Linked DNA regions of Macaca fascicularis. The protein of the gene in region 2 purifies or fractionates together with the protein of the main gene of each other region. This does not show direct contact. Links are inferred from orthologs where the notes say so. Each region holds a gene or a part of one and is shown on either strand. Other genes may lie near its edges.

Region 1 (3,749 bases), on a different chromosome or scaffold from region 2:
CTTTAACAGTTTGTAGAACTGCTGCCAAACATTTTAATCATGTAGATCAGTTCATACTCCAGGTCATGAAGTATGAAATTTCTTCCACAATTGACAGGATGATGTGGTTAGGGAACATTACGTGCACACTTCTAAGTACAAACGGTAAGGTTTTATTCTACCCAGTTACACTACTTTATTAGTTAACATAAAATCAAACTATTAGAGCAAAATTACATATGAGTTTCATGTTTTCATTTAAAAATCGATCTTGTACGCATGATTCTAGTTTTTAATAGTGTAGTGTTCTATGCCATTGCCCATGTGGTTTCAAAAAAACACTTTAATAGGATCAATGTTAGCATTTTTCTCTATTTTTGCTTACCTTAGGAAATCCTTCCTTTTCAGCTAGTATTACTTTTTTAAAAAGAAAAAAAAGGCCTACAAAAGTCTAGAATTACTAAAAAAAGTCCTTGAAATGAACAGCCACATATTAATCACTTTTCTCCTCAGCTCAAATGTTAATTAAGCAAGTTGTAATTTAATCACTGATGTGCAGTAATCAGAATTCATTTTACATTAATCAAACATTAGAATATAATAATATTCAAAACCTGAGGCTTTCTTTTTAAGAGGAGCACTTCAGAGGGCTTTTGTACCTACCACATGTGAGGCATTAATTCAAGTTTGAGGACAATGACTCAGCTTGAAGGAAGGCGGGGTGGAGTAACATCCTACCCATTCCTTTAGGAAAAAATCTTTTCTTTCTAACTAGGGGAGAGCGAGTGAAGTGGTTGAGAACATGCCCTCAACGTTCTGAAGACATGGAGAGAGGTGTGTTACTTGTTATGCGGCTCCCTAAAAAGAAACATCAGTTAGAGGGACTTCCAGTAACTGAGGCCACCAATTTCTACTTGCGCTTTACTTTTTCTGGGAGTGGAACGGGTCAGGTTTGCTAGTATTGTGAAAATCCATGAGGAAGCATTATTTCTCTCTTCCACTTGCCTCATTCTGAGTGGAACCCCAGAACCTCGTGTAGGGCTTAGGTTTCTCTGCTGCCATCCAAGAAATTATTTTGAGCGGAGAATCTCTCACTCTCTGGCTCTTTTCTCCCAATAGTAACAATAATAATGCCTTACTTGTTAAAAGAGATGCCGTGGTTTTGAAGTATTTTCTCGGCAAACGGACACTTCATATTTGGGTGTATTAATGGAGGGAGATAAAACACACATGCAGTGTTTCCTGAACTTTTTGGCTCACATGCTTCTTTGCTCATGCACAACCTAGAGAAAACTATGGAACCAACTCCTGTGTACAGTTTCAGGGAATTCCAGGTGCCTAACAAGGTTTTCTTTTAACTACAGTTGCTCACAAAATTTACACAGTAACTTGAGACAAACGTTCACAGGAAGTAGATAAAACTTTTCAATATACCGTTAAAGTCTTTCCAAAAATCTATTAACATTATATTGTTTAGAAATTCTGTACAAGTCTACTACTATATTACCTAATAAAATCTTAAGCAAGAAAAAGGGAAAACTATCTTTTCATACTTTCAGGCCAGTGACTAACACTTCGTCTTCTATGTAGGGAGGTGCCCAATAAATACTGAGAGACAAACGGAACCGCGGAATCCCGTCCGCCAGGTCAGGGGATAAAGAGAAGCCGCAACGTCTTTACTGCACGAAGCACCCGGTAACTTACTGCCTACCCCTCACTCCTCTCTAATCTTTGGTCTCAATGGATTGCTGGGTTGGTTTTGTTTTATTCATTTTTGCTCTTTTAAGTGTTCTGAAGCAAGGAAACTTAACTTCACGTGGAGGGCCACTGTAAACTGCTGCCTCCCTTAAAAATGTATGACGGGAGAAGAGTAAGTTAAAAACATTTGGGGCCACACAGAAGGTTCTAGAAGCTCTGCAGACCCACGCTGCCACAGTCGTTAATCGCATGGAATCTCACCTCTTAACTTTTATCTCCTCTTTTTCCTGCTCCCCAACACCTAGGTAAGTTAATCAAAGTGTGGCCACCATCACGCCCTCACAGGTTTAGCTTACAATGCGTTTTCTCTTGGACAAGGGGAGAAAATCCAAGAAATAAACAAAACTACACCACGTCCATCCACAACAAATCTCAACAAGCAACTTCTGTTGCCGCAGCCTCACTGTGCCCCAGGGCCCGGCCCGCCACACGCGGCCTCCGTCCGCTAACCGCCCGCGCGGCGAGCAGAACGCCCGAGACCGCCCGCCCGCCCGCGGCTCACCTGAGCTCCAGCTGGTCCAGGCTCTCCAGCAGGCGGCTGGAGCGGTCGGCCATGGAGGAGGAGCGGCAGAAGCGCCCCTCGTTGGCTTTAGCGTTGATCTTCGCCTGAGCCATCTAAGCCTCCGACGCGGGGCAGCCGAGAGGTCACCGGCCCCTCCGGCGGCGGCGAGTGGAGCGCTCCTCGGGCTGCAGGCGTCGCCGTCACCACGCGGGCGCCCGCCCTCCCTCTGACGCCCGCGGGGGCAACCCGGGAGGACTCGCCGACACCGCGGCTGCCGCGTGGCCAAAGAAGGGCAGGCGCGGCGCCCGCGGGGCTCGGGGACGCCGGGCCTGGGAGGGGGCTGCAGCGGCTGGAATTAAGAGGTTCGCGGGCCACAGGGGCTCGAGGATGGGCCGATAGGGGCTCGGGCCTGGGGAGCGCAAGTCTCTGAGGCACGGGGAGGGGCAGACGCAGAGACTGAGCGCCTAATGTGGCCAGCGGATCGTCTGCTCCTCGGACCCAGGAACTACCCGAAGCCCGCCCGGACCCACAGACCACCCCCAGCTCCGCCCCGCGTGGCCCCGCCTCTTCGTGCAGCCTAAAAGTAACCAACTTCCCCCACACGAAGGTTCCTATCGGTCGATGGGTTGTGGGTGTATTGCTCAGTGATGGCTTCGTTTAGTTTCTTCCAGCACCCATAATTCAAAGCAAGAACAACGACATTAAGGGTCCTGTGATATAGGGAGAAAAGGTCCTTTTGTGAAACAGAAGGCAGTTAAGTGCAGCTCCTAGGCAGCCCACACTCACCTGACCTTCCTGTTACCACTTTATACTAAGATGAGAGTAACGAATGCCCGGACAACGCTGAAGCTATTAAGTAAAAAAGAAAAAGCTACTCCATCTTTCCCTATCTAGGTAGATGTAGGAAACAAAGTGAATTTACTTCATTTTTATCATTCTAAGGATTACAGGTGTGAACCACCACGCCCGGCTTAATGAAGGAGTTTTTAATTTTTGCTATTAAAATTATTCCTGTTGAGTGAGCCGAGATCTCGCCACTGCACTCCAGCCTGGGCAACAGAACGATACCTTGTCTAAATAAATAAATAAATATTCTGAGTGAAATAATTGGCATTAAGAAGTCCTCAACTTTTAATTTTTTTTTTTTTTTTTTTTTTTTGAGACCGAGTCTCGCTCTGTGGCCCAGGCTGGAGTGCAGTGGCCGGATCTCAGCTCACTGCAAGCTCCGCCTCCCGGGTTCACGCCATTCTCCTGCCTCAGCCTCACAAGTAGCTGGGACTACAGGCACCCGCCACCACGCCCGGGTAGTTTTTTGTATTTTTTAGTAGAGACGGGGTTTCACCGTGTTAGCCAGGATGGTCTCGATCTCCTGACCTCGTGATCCACCCGTCTCGGCCTCCCAAAGTGCTGGGATTACAGGCTTGAGCCACCGCGCCAGGCCAACTTTTAATGTTAACAAAAAGATGCAGTAGGCCTCTAGGTCAGGCACCAGCTGTCGGTAAAAGATGGA
Region 2 (3,048 bases):
ACGTCTTGAGAAATTTGAGCTCCTCATGCCCTTCCAGTCATGCTCAGGTTCCAGGTTAAGTTTTCTTCTCTAGTCTTCTTCCCTGGGCTCAAATTCTCAACTACTGTGGGTGGAGGGTTTGTGGAACGCTGCAGACCAGAGTTCCTCCCCTCTGAAGGCCTGTGCAGGGTTATCTGAAGTGTTTCCACCCAGAGTGCAGGAAAGAAACTCTGCCTAAGGAGCAAGGGGCAGCAAGTTCTGCAGGCACCCATGAGAGATGCCCAATGCATCCCTGAAGAGAAAAGTGACAGCAGAATGTGAGGGGAGAGCCAGCGAGGCACGTGCTCATGTTCTCACGCCCCAGCCTAGCCCAGCCAAGTGCTGATGGCCTGCACCTGCCAGTGCTGATGGTCTCTCCGCACCAAGGAGATGTGGGCTTGAACTCTGAGGTACGAAAGCTACACGTGGAGATGAGGAAAAGTGAGAAGATAACTTCAGAGGAGACAGGAGGGTTGAATTGAACAGGAAAAGATCAAAAGTACAGCCAGAATCCCATTTGGTCTTTTTTCTATTCTCCTTTATTCCATAAACACCTAGTTACAAGTTGCACAAATCAAAAAATAAAGGCAGGGAAGGGTTTAGGGAAGATTCTGGTGATGTGTGTGGGCAGGAGTAGGGAGAAAGAGTTGGGAACCAGTCTGCTCCTTCCACAGCCCTAGACAGGGCTACGGCCCCTCAGTGGGGGCTCTGAGGAAGAGGTGGGCAAAGATCCAGGGTAGCTGAGGGATGGAGGAGGCCCCTAAACCCAGAGCTCACCCCAAAAGACCCTTCAATGCATGGCAGGAGTAGAATGGGAAAGGTGAGGGGTTTGAAGATGGAGCAGCAGAATGAAAAATCAAGTTAGTAGATGCAGAGGCGAAGTCATCATGGTAAGGGGATTAAAGAAGGAAAAAGTAGGGAAAGGTTCTCCCTGAGACCCCCAGGGAGAGGTGGGGGCCGGCTTGCCTGTTAATTTAATATTAAATTGGGGATGGGAATCAGAGAGGAAAAAGTTATTCAGGGGATGATTTCTCAGCCTCTCAGCCTGTACCTGGAGGGGAAAAGAGAGGAGCACAAATCAAAAGGAAGAAAAAACTTATGTTAAGAGCCAGGAGTTGGGGTTTAATCGCCTATGTCAGTGAGAACATTGTTCTCTTTCCACACCAACTCGCACTATCAAAGGCAGCTCCTGCGGGAGCCTGGACTGCGCCTGCCTCGCGGCCGAGGACCATCCGCAGGTGCACCCCGCCCTCCTTACCCCTGATACTTACAAGAGAGGCTGAGGGCCCGGGGCCCTCACCAGTCATAGCGGCGGGACTGTCGGGAAGGGGAGTCCTCAGGTCCCTGGATGGCCAAGCGGGGAGGCCCCTCCGCCCTTCGTCCCCCCGCCCCTGAGGACTCAAGCCGCCGAAACTCCAGGGGGCGCTGCTGCCGGAATCGGGACGTCTCCCGCCGCCACTCGTCGTCAAACGCTGCGGCCTCACCTGGAGGGGACGGAGTCCACATGAGGCCTGTGTGCGGCCTGGCTCCTGGAGGCCGATGTGCGAGCGAGTCACAGCTTCTCCGGCCAAAGCGGCGAAGGCTGAGTGTGTGTGCAGGGGTGGGTGGGGCGGCAATTCCCTTAGCTCTTTGGTTTCTGCACGATCCCGGGAAGCCACCGGTAGGCCTAAGGTGGCCTACTGGAGGAAGAAATCAGAATGGGATTCTTCTTCAGTTCAGGTTCATAGTCCTGTGTGCACACTAAGTACTTAATAATTGCGGATTTGAAAAAGATAAAGAGGGGAGAAAGAAACAGATCCAGGTGGAGAAGAGTGTAACACTATCAATACGGAACTTCAGGGACAAAGCAGGCCCCTCTCAAAGACACCGCCGGCACCTGACTCAGCCCCTGAGCGGAGGAGGCTCCGAGTGCGTAAAAATATGGGGCTGACAGCCGGGCGCGGTGGCTCACGCCTGTAATCCCAGCACTTTGGGAGGCCGAGGCAGGTGGATCACCTGAGGTCAGGAGTTTGAGACCAGCCTGGCCAACATGATGAAACCCCGTCTCTACTAAAAATACAGAAATTAGCTGGGCGTGGTGGTACATACCTGTAGTCCCAGCTACTCGGGAGGCTGAGGCAGGAGAATCGCTTAAACCGGGGAGGCGGAGGTTGCAGTGAGCTGAGATCGCGGCACTGCACTCCAGCCTGGGCAACAAGAGCGAGACTCCGTCTCAAAAGAAAAAAAAAATATATATATATATATATGGGGCTGATCCAGAGCTTTGCCCAGAAGTTTTTTTTTTTTTTTTTTTTTTTTTTGAGACGGAGTCTCGCTCTGTCACCCAGGCTGGACTGCAGTGGCCGGATCTCAGCTCACTGCAAGCTCCGCCTCCCGGGTTCACGCCATTCTCCTGCCTCAGCCTCCCGAGTAGCTGGGACTACAGGCGCCCGCCACCTCGCCCGGCTAGTTTTTTGTATTTTTTAGTAGAGACGGGGTTTCACCGTGTTAACCAGGATGGTCTCGATCTCCTGACCTCGTGATCCGCCCGTCTCGGCCTCCCAAAGTGCTGGGATTACAGGCTTGAGCCACCGCGCCCGGCCTGCCCAGAAGTGTTTATGAGTTAGGGATGTCTCCTAGCCCACAGGAACTGGGCTAGGGGCTGCCGGCCAGGAAGTGGGAGGGAAGGCTCACTCTCATCCAGGTTGATATAGTCCTGCCGCTCCTCCTGGTCCCCCGTGCGATGGTTTCGGGAGCGCTGGAGGATGTGGGCCCTGTCCCGGATGTGATGCCCGATGGACATCTGCTCCAGTCCACTGTCTGAATCCCGAACAGTCCTCCGTGTCTCCCGGATCTGGGATGAGGCAGAACATGGCACACTCAGCCGCCCCTTCCAAAGCCCTGGCTATACCATCTCAGGAGAAACACACCACACACAACCCAATCCGGAAAAAAGCAGCCAGGGTTTCTGGCGGTGCCGCTCAATCCCCCCTTCTCTGGGACAGGAGGGCCCCCCACTCACCCCGCCTGGTGCCGAGCGCATCTCTGATG

The links. The genes of interacting proteins can lie anywhere in the genome.
Region 1: the proteins of MLF2 (region 2) and BAG2 purify together in Homo sapiens (affinity purification with mass spectrometry; 4 studies listed by BioGRID and IntAct, with this or other methods). This does not show direct contact. The link is inferred for Macaca fascicularis from reciprocal best matches to the Homo sapiens genes MLF2 and BAG2.

Annotation. Positions count from the first base shown.
Region 1 is NC_088378.1:114,546,363-114,550,111, forward strand, and holds the start of BAG2 (BAG family molecular chaperone regulator 2), read right to left. Parts: upstream 2,727-3,749; 5' UTR 2,353-2,726; coding exon 2,240-2,352; intron 2,190-2,239; exon of another isoform or gene 643-2,189; intron 1-642. UniProt on the Homo sapiens protein: Co-chaperone for HSP70 and HSC70 chaperone proteins. Acts as a nucleotide-exchange factor (NEF) promoting the release of ADP from the HSP70 and HSC70 proteins thereby triggering client/substrate protein release.
Region 2 is NC_088385.1:7,675,648-7,678,695, forward strand, and holds the end of MLF2 (myeloid leukemia factor 2), read right to left. Parts: coding exon 3,020-3,048; intron 2,852-3,019; coding exon 2,692-2,851; intron 1,503-2,691; coding exon 1,315-1,502; 3' UTR 1,290-1,314; intron 1,070-1,289; 3' UTR 535-1,069; downstream 1-534.